Linked DNA regions of Saccharomyces cerevisiae S288C. The protein of the gene in region 3 binds, or shares a complex with, the protein of the main gene of each other region. Each region holds a gene or a part of one and is shown on either strand. Other genes may lie near its edges. A codon is read from its position in the direction of its gene.

Region 1 (2,431 bases), on a different chromosome or scaffold from region 3:
ATAATTCGATTCGCAGGCTGCTATTCAAGCTCGTTTTACTACTCTCCAGCAAATAGGACGTCGAAACTTTCACGAGTTATACTCTCCCCCCAACAGGTTCACTAAAAAACCATGTCGTTGCTGGTTGTATGGTGTCAAACTGCTTTTTCCAAAGATTTGGTTATTTTTTTCGCCCTACCCTAAGCAATATCCGTATTAAAAGCTATGAGGCTTTTTGGTTGAATCAACAGTTGGAAACGCTTGATACAACCAAAATAAATATGTCATTACAATTTTGTGCTCCCGGAAACAAGGTTTTCCAGCACAGTTATTAATGTAGCGGTAGCCTATCTGTAAGCCGACTCTTTGGAGCAGTAAAGTGGAGCAGTAGAGTGGAGCCTTTAGATCTAGAGATGCGGCTTAATATCGACATCAAGTACCTTTTTTGGTTGCTACAGTTAAAGACTTTTCTTGTACGTTTTAACAACGTGAAGCACAACTGTAACTAATATCAATCTATTTTTCCTTATTACAGCTAAAAAGAAACTGGCGAGTCTTAAAAGAACTGGTTCTGGATAAGAAAACGGCCACTGCTCCTTCGAGATTAAAACATATAATCGATCAATTATAATTAGTATTTATCACCTAAAAACTTATCAAATTTATGTAGGTCTAGAAAATTGAAAATGAAACAAGAAAATTCACTGCATTTTCATACTAGCCAGAATCACGTACTATACAATATTCCCTTAAACTACCCAAATCTATTGGCCTGGTACCAAACCAAATCTCTTCTTCAAAGTTACTCTTTGTCTTGAATATTTGTCGTCTGGAGAAAATCTAGCTGGGTGAGCAGACTTCGTGATTTCACCACTTTCGGTGACCTTTTTCAATGTATAGATTCTCTTGCCGTCTGGGCCCAAAGTGTACATCAAATGCATCTTGTTCAAAAGGATTTGTTATGTATTGGTCTATTGAAAGTATTTCTCTTTTCCGTCAACTCACTAACATAAGCCACTTTATAGCTACCATAATGTAATAAAAGAGTGATGAGCATAACTTGAAATTTTTTTCTCCTTCCGCTTAGTTGAAAAAAGACGAAAAAAATAGTGAAGCCGTGCTAAAGGATAAATGGTATATTTGAAAGAACTCTACACTTAGCGTGTAATCACCATAACCAATAGTTAGCTGGAATTTCAAACACATGTTAATTTTTCACCTATTATTTTACTACTACATATACAAATAAATATACTAGTTTTGCACTAGTTTCTAATTGTTGCAGCCTCTAACAACACTTATAAATAAAACTTAAAGCGTATGTGTTTCATATGCCCTGCTGTACATACCTAATGCCTTAATAGGGAATAAGAATCGATAACTTGGGTATTCAATTGCACAAGAGTGGTTGAAAACACCTTCTACACTTTCAAATTTCCATTCCCCGGATTCTTCTTGTCTATTTTTTAAAAGGTCAATACCGCGGTCGATGACTTCTTTATTAGGATATTCAGCGAAAAGAAGTGCAATTAGCGCCCATGCGGTTTGAACGACTAGCGATTTTTCACTATCCACATAACTATGTAATTCACTGGACTTCATTGATTCCCCCCAACCGCCATCCTTCATCTGTTTACTGACCAAGAAGTCGCAACCTTTTCTTACCGTTGAGGAATTCTCATAGGTCTCCCCCACGGTGTGTAATGCCTCCAATGCAAACATACCGGCATATGTAAAACAAATACCCCAGCTTCCATACCAACTTCCATCTGGTAATTGAGATTTTTTTATGAATTCGATGGCGATTCTGATGCGTGTACGTATTTCCTCTTTCCTATAGTCGAAGTACTTGTGAAAATATGTCAACCCCAGAACGGATGAATCAGTACATTCCACGTATGGGTATTCTACCATTATGTTACCAAAAACTTCAGCAGGATTCAAGGTTTCCATTGCTAGTGGGGCCTTGATTTTTTCATAGGTTGCAAAGGAACCATATTCAAAAGATCCGATGTTTTGTAGGTTCAATAACACATCAATGCCTTCAAATAAACGTTCACTGCTAATCATATGGTGTACTTCACTAAAGACGGGAGAGTTTTTCACCATGATGATGGCTTTAATTGCTTCTGCAGTGCAATCTGCCACTGTATAGCCCTGTGTTTTTGTTGAGAAGCCCCAAGCCCCCTTTCTCTTATCCCTATAACTACCTGGAACGCACTCGGTGTCAAATTGAGCATGACACAAGAATTTATAGGCAGAGACAATTGTGTTATAGAATTCAGGTCTTTCTGCGAGGCCTGCGACGAAAAAGTATTGAATGGCAAACGCACAATCCCAGGTTTGCACACCATTTGTTCCCATAATGGTCATACCCTGTGGACCATGGAACAATGCATCCTTGAACCTATATTGGAGACGCTGGAACGCTTCCGAGTCTACCCCTTCTTCA
Region 2 (4,054 bases), on a different chromosome or scaffold from region 3:
TATTATTGGGATCTGGGACAGCAATGGTTACATTGGTGTTCGAGTCGATATTAGGAGAACCATTGCTTATGATACCTTGCAACCCTCCAGAATTCATCGTCAGCGTCCTATTGTTTTGAAACGTTGAATTACTAGTGGAAGGAACTGGTTGTCCATTCAAATAGCTTTGTTGGTTTATATCGGATGTCAAACTGCCATTTTGAAAGCTTGCGCTCTGCTGCTGTTGCTGCTGCTGCTGCTGTTGTTGTTGTTGTTGTTGTTGCTGTTGTTGTAAAACGTTGGCATGATCTGCTGAAGTCATACTTCTCGTATGCTGCTGCAAGTTATGCAGGTGCTGAAGATTTAGCTGTTGCTGTGACAGCATATCAGAGACCGCAGAGGTCATTGTGTTGTTTTTCGACATTTTTTTTTCTTTTAATGTTGTATTCTTTTATTGTTAACTACTTTTTTTCTTTAAAAAGCTTCAAAAGAAGATGACCAAATGCAGATATAAGAACACTCTAATAGGTTGTACCAATTCAAGGGCTCAACAGATGTCCTCGTTGTTTTTCCCCCCCCCAGCTTGGATCGCTGTCACTCTTCAAGGCTTGAAAGCCTTCTCCCTTCTTCGATGGAATACGTAATGCCATGAGGGGAAAAGCCGCGGGAAGAGAAGGGTAACCCAATTTTAGGCCCCTGCAGGAACGTTAATCAATATATACTCTATCTAATGCAGTAATCTACGCTAAACATTCAAATGATCTTCATTGTGGGTTCTGCTGCTGCTCTCGGTATTCAGACTCTGCCAAAATTTCCATCTCTCTTATATTTAGTGTCTCCCACTCAGGTTCGCCAGTTTGTTCGTTGAACGATGCAATACATTCAAATTCAATATCCTGCTTGGAAAGTGACTCTTGCTCTTTTCTCATTTCCAAGGCCAGACTTCTTATGACGTTCTCACTACCCTGAGAAATGAACCACGCAGTCAGATCATCCAAGAGAACTTTGTCGTAGACGTAGTAAACATCATGGAAACGAAATGTTTCATGAATGTCCAAAAGCGCCCTTATGACTAGTCTCTTACCACCTCGTAGAATATAATATACGAATGTCCACGCTTTCATTGCTAGGTCATAGTTTCTATGTAGTGGATAACTCAGGGCTCTCCTGATACCTGTAATGATTGCAATCTTGATGAGAGAGCTGTCTTTATTAACCTTTGATATTTCTTTCATACCGTCTTGCAGTTCGTTCACCTGTTTTAATTGTTGGTCTAAGAATGATATTTGAGGGCACAATTTTCCCATGGTCCAAGCACTCTCTGTGGTATGAGTACCTTCGTTTTCGATCTGTTCAAACACATAACTGAAAAGAACGCTGAGTATAGTGACATAAAGTGGTTTTATATCTTCCACGAGATAAGACTTCTTGGGTAAATTGTCCTGCATCTGTTTTTGTTCCTCGTCAGTAAACTCAATTGGCATGACCAGATTTGGGTTCGTACTGTCTTTGTACCATTGCAGGTATTGCTTTACGATCGAAGGTGTAAACTTCAGTAGTTCTTTAATGCCGTTAATTTCCAAGTCTTCCTCGTTACCGTATTTATGTGTCATATACTCGGAAACATAGTACTCAGGATCAAACTTCAAATTTTCTTTTCTTAACCTTTCAATAACTCTATCGTTCGCGTCAGTGTGTTCAGGATCGTCTAATTCATTGATATCGTTCCCGTTGCTTGTCGACACTGATATAACTGTATCATATAAGTTATCAAACCCATATTTTGTCTTCAATATTCCATTATTGGTGCTGGAATCCATCTTTTGCTCTATCTCCCAATTAAACCCCTCTCCCATTTGACCAATAGTCTTCACATCATCTTTAATATTATTCGACACGCCATCAGTTTCGACCTCTTGAATAAGGGGCTTTTGGGTTTTTTTCGCATCAGTATTTTCTGTTAATGCATCGGCACCTGCAAGATCGCCTTGCCTAGCCAACAACTTTGTCGGTAGGTCCAAATCTTCGAAATATTCATTTTTATTCAGTTTGGCTACTTTTACATTGATGCATTCATCTTTGGAATCGTATTGAGCGGTAGACCTCTCATCATCGATTAATTCGTGAGGAAATCTTAATCTTAAATAGTAAGGGGATAAGTGAAAAATGATCATATTTTCTTGGATGATTATCTCTAAACCCACTGCACTGAACCTAATATTACTTATGAATATTTTGAGAAATATAAATTCCTCATCCTGTGTTATAGAGAATCTTGGTGTTATCATTATAGTTCAGAAGTGATGGTAGATTATAGCAAGTATTCTTCTTTTGTGAATCTTAATATTACTCTGAGCACTTGACACTGAATATTTAGTATTCAAAATTTTTCAGCTGATTTTTGCGATGCGATGGTGATGAAAAAAAAAACATGTAGTAGTAATAACAATCAAATAAAATAAGTGAAATCTCATGAACTATCTGCTGCGAATTTTAAGGATAATCGGATAGCTTGAAGCATTTCTTTTTCGTAATGAGTGGCTCTACAGAATCTAAAAAACAACCAAGAAGAAGATTTATTGGGAGAAAATCTGGCAACAGTAATAATGACAAATTAACTACAGTGGCTGAAAATGGCAACGAAATAATCCACAAGCAAAAGAGTAGAATCGCCCTAGGTAGGAGTGTTAATCATGTGCCAGAAGATATATTGAATGACAAAGAGTTGAATGAAGCCATCAAATTATTGCCCTCTAACTACAACTTTGAAATCCACAAAACTGTGTGGAATATCAGGAAATATAATGCTAAAAGAATAGCCCTACAGATGCCTGAAGGTTTGCTGATTTACTCATTGATTATAAGTGACATTTTGGAACAGTTCTGTGGTGTTGAAACTCTAGTAATGGGGGATGTGTCTTATGGTGCATGCTGTATTGATGATTTTACTGCTAGGGCATTGGATTGCGATTTTATTGTGCATTACGCTCATTCGTGTTTAGTTCCTATTGACGTTACAAAGATTAAAGTACTATATGTCTTTGTTACTATAAATATTCAAGAAGATCATATTATCAAAACGCTGCAGAAGAATTTTCCTAAGGGATCTAGAATCGCTACATTTGGTACCATTCAGTTTAATCCTGCGGTACACAGCGTCAGAGATAAACTGCTTAACGATGAAGAACACATGCTGTATATTATTCCACCACAAATCAAGCCTCTATCGAGGGGTGAAGTATTGGGGTGTACTTCTGAAAGATTAGATAAAGAACAATACGATGCCATGGTATTCATCGGTGATGGTAGATTTCATTTGGAGTCTGCAATGATACATAATCCGGAAATTCCTGCATTCAAGTATGACCCATACAACAGAAAGTTCACTAGAGAAGGATACGATCAAAAGCAACTCGTGGAAGTTAGAGCAGAGGCCATTGAAGTCGCTCGGAAGGGTAAAGTTTTTGGTCTGATCTTAGGTGCATTAGGTAGACAAGGTAATTTAAACACTGTAAAAAACTTGGAAAAAAACCTGATCGCAGCAGGTAAAACCGTGGTGAAAATTATTCTAAGTGAAGTTTTTCCCCAAAAGCTCGCAATGTTCGATCAAATTGATGTTTTTGTTCAGGTCGCATGTCCTAGACTGTCCATCGATTGGGGTTATGCCTTCAATAAACCACTATTAACACCATATGAGGCTAGTGTCTTACTAAAGAAAGATGTCATGTTCAGCGAAAAATATTATCCAATGGATTATTACGAAGCTAAAGGATACGGGCGTGGGGAAACTCCGAAACATGCGATTGAATAGTTTAAATAGTTTTTGTTGTCACTTGTCTTCCTGTTACATATGTATAAATAGTTAGTATCATATTCTTCGGAGCATCTTTTCTATTGTTTAAACGTTTTTGACGGCTTGCAGGCGAAACTAAATTGTCTAAAATTCAAAACAATGCCTTCTAACTTGATATCACTGCTGGTCAAGCCTATTTTTATTCTGGTTTCTCAGGCAAACCCAAATGATATTGTCAAATTTTTCACTGAGTTTGCCAAGCATATTTCCATGGACTTTTGT
Region 3 (3,945 bases):
ATTTAGACGATATTTTGGAAATGATGATTAATGAAGACGATACAAATTCAGAGACAAACACAATAATGCAACATTTACAAGGGTTCTGTCAAGTTTTCGTAACAAAGTTCTTAAATTCCTCTATGAGCGTTAGCAATGATCCCTCTGTGTCTATCGAATGCAAGTCCTTAAATGAAATGATTAAAGATTTTTGTTCCTTTATTTCCCTACAAAGCAAATTTTCGTGCTTGAAATTAATTGATTGCAGCACAAGATTCAGGAATGCAATAATCGGCGATATTAGCTTAAAATCAAATGAGAATTTGCTATCATGGTTGTTTCTAAATAATGTCATGGGCCAATTGCTGAACTACTGTTTTGAAGTCATGAAATTCGTCAATGGCCTAAAAGTTTAAAAGTTCTATCATTAGTATATGGGGATATTTAAAAAAGAATATAACGTTGCATATGTAAAAAAAATAAAAGTAAAAGAATACTACAAGTCGTTGATAAAGAAATTTTACGTTATTAATATACACACTAAAAAAAATCTAATCTAATAATAGAAAAAGTTTTTTGAAAAAAAGAAAGCTGTTAAATATATAGGATGAGATGGAGTGATGAGAATCATTTCTTAGATTTCTTAGATTTCTTTTCCTCAGAATCACCGTCTTCAGACTTTCTTTTCTTCTCCTTTTTCTCTTTCTTTTCCTTCTTGTCCTTCTTTTCTTTCTTTTCCTTCTTTTCCTTCTTGTCCTTCTTCTCTTTCTTTTCCTTTTTGCTGTCATCCTCTTTCACTTCTTCCTTCTCAGTTTCGACTTCTTTGATTAAAGAATCTTCTTTAGCTTTCTTAGGCTCTTCTTCAGTTTCCTTAGTTTCCTGAGAGCTAGAAGTTGACTGTTCAGCATTGTCTAATGGAACATATTCTTTTTTCCATTGTTCTGGGGTGTTTTCGTTAACACGGCCGTATTTATCCAATTTGCCGTCTGCCTTCATTTGCTTCTTCTTTTGTGCGACTGGACCCAAACCCCATCTTCTTGGGTATAAATCTCTTTCCATGATACATCTCTTCACACTAGCAACAACACCATGATCACAGGAAGCTAAGTCAACGGTTGACATTTGTGCGATGGCAACGGCAATGGCTTCACCCTTGGTAGTTATCAAGACAATTTCGTCATATAACTCAATACCTTCTTCGTAACGCAATAAACCAGGGATCATCAACTTTGCACCATAACATACTGCATTGACAGCAGAATCCTTCACTACAATTCTCTTGTAACCAACCAATAGAGTTTCTAAAGGTTGAATAATGGATCTCAAGTAAGATTCATCTCTTGTATTGTCGTAAACCCATTGGGCATCCATAACATCATGTAAAGTGACCATGTTGTCATTTTCAGACAGAGCACCGGATCTAACACGACGCAATTCTTGCATGTGACCACCAACACCTAATAGCATACCTAAATGAACACACAAAGTACGCATATAAGTACCAGCTTCACAGGAAGCCCAGAAAACACCTAAGTTTCTCTTGTTATCGAACTCAATCAAGTTTGACTCATAGATAGTACGAACACGTAATTGTCTCTTAACAGCAGAGATTAAAGGAGGTCTTTGGAAAAGCGCACCGGTCAAGTTTTCTAGTGAGCGGCCCAAATCCTTTTCATCCTTCAAAGCATCATGCAATCTGACAATACACACATACTCCTTACCAGCACCTTGTTGAGACTTAACCAACCTGGTAGCTCTGTCAATACAAACAATCAAACAACCTGTAACTTTTGGATCCAATGTACCAGAGTGACCAGTCTTCTCACAACGTAAGATTCTTTTGATCCAAGCTACAACTTCGTGCGATGATGGGTTGGAAGGTTTATCTAGATTAATGACACCAGAGCTGATATATGATTTCAGGTCTCTCTTTAGTGGTGAACTACCAGCTGGGATAGGGGTATAATGACCACTTCTGACTAATAACTTATCAAAATTCTTCAAAAGTAATGGCCATTCACTAGTGTCAGTGGAAGCACCTGCAGCTTCAGGCTTAATAACGAAATCCTCCTTTGACATTGTGTATATCGGTCCTCTGTGTAGGTTGTAACGAACTCCAGATGATAATGAATCTTTAAAAAAAAAAACCAATAAAAAATGTTCTGAAAACTATCTTTACATTATATTTTTCCTAAGCTAAACATCTCATCATTTGAAAATTTTTCAAATTTTTTCAGCATTTTCTTTTTGCGAAGAGGGAAAAGAAGAAAGAAAAATTTTCAGTGAGAACAGAAGATCATATGTTACGAGTAGAAAATACTAAAAGTTTTTCGATAAAAAGGGAATATATAATATAAATAAATCAATCTGTCATTGAGTAAGTTTACAATGCAGCTGCCTCGAACTCTTTTTTCAATCTAGATTCCACCGCGTCAATGAACTCCTCGGTAGTGACATAAGCGGATCTTTCAGACTTACCGAGAATGAGCGCCAAATCTTTAGTCATGATTCCATCTTCTTGCACTGTATTTACCGTAGCGCTTTCCAATATTTGGCCGAACTTAACTACATCTGGAGTATTATCAAGTTTACCCCTTTGAATAATACCTCTAGTCCACGCGAAAATTGATGCAATGGAATTTGTTGACGTCTCCTTTCCTTGCTGATGCTGTCTAAAATGTCTTGTTACTGTACCGTGGGCGGCTTCGCTTTCAAAGGTTTTACCGTCCGGGGTAATCAACACAGATGTCATTAACCCCAAGGAGCCAAATCCTTGTGCAACAATATCTGATTCTACGTCACCGTCGTAATTTTTCATGGCAATTATGTATCCACCTTTAGATTTCAACATTTGGGCCACCATATCATCAATTAAACGGTGCTCGTACCAGATGCCAAGGGATTCAAACTTCTCTTTATAACTTCTAGCATACATGGCTTCGAAAACATCTTTGAATTTACCATCATACTTCTTCAAAATAGTATTCTTAGTAGTGGAATATAATGGTAACTTCCTTTCAATGGCCAATTCAAAGGAGGCCTTCGCAAACCCTTCGATCGAATCTGTAGTGTTGTACATCATCATGGCAACCCCACCATGTTCTGGGTAGTCAAATACCTTCAGATCTACATCATGAGTTCCGCTCTTGGATTTATAAACAAGCCTCAACTCGCCTTCTTCAGGGACTATTACATCGGTAGCTTTGTACTGATCGCCGAATGCGTGTCTCCCAATGATGATGGGCTTCTCCCATTGAGGAACTAGCCTTGGAATTCTAGGGATAATAATAGGTTCTCTGAACACTGTACCACCCAAAATGTTTCTAATAGTACCATTTGGAGATTTCCACATCTTTTTCAAATGAAATTCCTCGACCCTTGCCTCATCGGGTGTAATAGTCGCGCATTTGACAGCTACTCCATACTTTAAAGTCGCGGTGGCAGAATCCACAGTTACTTGATCATTAGTCTGGTCACGATACTCCACGGAAAGATCGTAGTACTTCAAATCAACGTCAAGATAGGGCAAGACTAACTTGTCCCTGATTAAATGCCAGATTATTCTTGTTTGCTCATCGCCGTCCATTTCCACAATGGGGTTAGCTACCTTAATCTTTGTCATTACGATTTTATATATATACGTACGTTACCTTCTTACCTCCTATTCTCGTGCCTGAGCAGCGACTGTAGTCGACAAGTCAAGAGTGTAGTAACATACAATTGCAGGCTGTCATTTATATATCATGCCGGAGACTAGTTTGCCTATAGCCAATTCCAACCGAACCAATAATGTTAAGTCCGGTTTTTGATATTATACTCCACCCCCACTATTCCTAGCCCTGAAAGGTATCAAAGAGAACACTGATGATTTGACTACTGCATATTCTTCCCTTATTTCCTTATTTGCCGATTTTCGGACCACCGGCAATGACATCCCGGAGTTATAAAAATAAATAGATAGACGTT

What was found. The genes of interacting proteins can lie anywhere in the genome.
Region 1: the proteins of CBF5 (region 3) and NOP10 are in contact, whole or in part, in a crystal structure (PDB 3U28), measured with the Saccharomyces cerevisiae proteins. Residues at the interface, in NP_013276.1 of Saccharomyces cerevisiae: Asp65 (codon at 1,866), Lys66 (codon at 1,863), Pro67 (codon at 1,860), Ser68 (codon at 1,857), Trp78 (codon at 1,827), Ile82 (codon at 1,815), Thr99 (codon at 1,764), Val124 (codon at 1,689), Ile126 (codon at 1,683), Ile175 (codon at 1,536), Glu176 (codon at 1,533), Asp178 (codon at 1,527), Arg181 (codon at 1,518), Leu183 (codon at 1,512), Val185 (codon at 1,506), Gln214 (codon at 1,419), Glu215 (codon at 1,416), Leu216 (codon at 1,413), Arg217 (codon at 1,410), Val219 (codon at 1,404), Glu226 (codon at 1,383), Asn227 (codon at 1,380), Thr232 (codon at 1,365), Leu233 (codon at 1,362), His234 (codon at 1,359), Met237 (codon at 1,350), Asp238 (codon at 1,347), Trp241 (codon at 1,338), Tyr251 (codon at 1,308); in NP_058135.1 of Saccharomyces cerevisiae: Met1 (codon at 920), His2 (codon at 917), Leu3 (codon at 914), Gly11 (codon at 890), Lys12 (codon at 887), Arg13 (codon at 884), Tyr15 (codon at 878), Thr16 (codon at 875), Leu17 (codon at 872), Lys18 (codon at 869), Ala30 (codon at 833), His31 (codon at 830), Pro32 (codon at 827), Ala33 (codon at 824), Arg34 (codon at 821), Phe35 (codon at 818), Ser36 (codon at 815), Pro37 (codon at 812), Asp39 (codon at 806), Ser42 (codon at 797), Arg43 (codon at 794), Arg45 (codon at 788), Val46 (codon at 785).
Region 2: the proteins of CBF5 (region 3) and SHQ1 are in contact, whole or in part, in a crystal structure (PDB 3ZV0), measured with the Saccharomyces cerevisiae proteins. Residues at the interface, in NP_013276.1 of Saccharomyces cerevisiae: Ser20 (codon at 2,001), Glu21 (codon at 1,998), Trp22 (codon at 1,995), Pro23 (codon at 1,992), Leu24 (codon at 1,989), Lys27 (codon at 1,980), Leu49 (codon at 1,914), Lys50 (codon at 1,911), Arg51 (codon at 1,908), Asp52 (codon at 1,905), Ser274 (codon at 1,239), Asn277 (codon at 1,230), Ala278 (codon at 1,227), Tyr281 (codon at 1,218), Gly282 (codon at 1,215), Ala283 (codon at 1,212), Lys284 (codon at 1,209), Pro288 (codon at 1,197), Val336 (codon at 1,053), Lys337 (codon at 1,050), Arg338 (codon at 1,047), Cys339 (codon at 1,044), Arg343 (codon at 1,032), Asp344 (codon at 1,029), Pro347 (codon at 1,020), Arg348 (codon at 1,017), Arg349 (codon at 1,014), Trp350 (codon at 1,011), Leu352 (codon at 1,005), Gly353 (codon at 1,002); in NP_012162.3 of Saccharomyces cerevisiae: Ser181 (codon at 1,727), Val182 (codon at 1,724), Thr184 (codon at 1,718), Ser185 (codon at 1,715), Asn186 (codon at 1,712), Gly187 (codon at 1,709), Asp189 (codon at 1,703), Lys215 (codon at 1,625), Asp217 (codon at 1,619), Pro218 (codon at 1,616), Glu219 (codon at 1,613), Tyr220 (codon at 1,610), Val222 (codon at 1,604), Ser223 (codon at 1,601), Glu224 (codon at 1,598), Met226 (codon at 1,592), Thr227 (codon at 1,589), Glu237 (codon at 1,559), Ile238 (codon at 1,556), Asn239 (codon at 1,553), Thr319 (codon at 1,313), Thr321 (codon at 1,307), Thr322 (codon at 1,304), Glu323 (codon at 1,301), Trp326 (codon at 1,292), Tyr379 (codon at 1,133), Pro380 (codon at 1,130), Leu381 (codon at 1,127), Arg383 (codon at 1,121), Asp421 (codon at 1,007).

Annotation. Positions count from the first base shown.
Region 1 is NC_001140.6:240,153-242,583, reverse strand, and holds NOP10 (snoRNP complex protein NOP10), read right to left. Parts: upstream 921-2,431; coding exon 744-920; downstream 1-743. Other genes in the region: oxysterol-binding protein related protein OSH3, read right to left, coding at 1-2; lanosterol synthase ERG7, read right to left, coding at 1,291-2,431.
Region 2 is NC_001141.2:169,239-173,292, forward strand, and holds SHQ1 (Hsp90 cochaperone SHQ1), read right to left. Parts: upstream 2,268-4,054; coding exon 744-2,267; downstream 1-743. Other genes in the region: SLM1 (phosphatidylinositol 4,5-bisphosphate-binding protein), read right to left, coding at 1-403; DPH1 (2-(3-amino-3-carboxypropyl)histidine synthase), read left to right, coding at 2,513-3,790.
Region 3 is NC_001144.5:504,247-508,191, reverse strand, and holds CBF5 (pseudouridine synthase CBF5), read right to left. Parts: upstream 2,059-3,945; coding exon 607-2,058; downstream 1-606. Other genes in the region: RFX1 (Rfx1p), read left to right, coding at 1-395; isocitrate dehydrogenase (NADP(+)) IDP2, read right to left, coding at 2,363-3,601; TAG1 (Tag1p), read right to left, coding at 3,945-3,945. UniProt on the Saccharomyces cerevisiae protein: Catalytic subunit of H/ACA small nucleolar ribonucleoprotein (H/ACA snoRNP) complex, which catalyzes pseudouridylation of rRNA. This involves the isomerization of uridine such that the ribose is subsequently attached to C5, instead of the normal N1.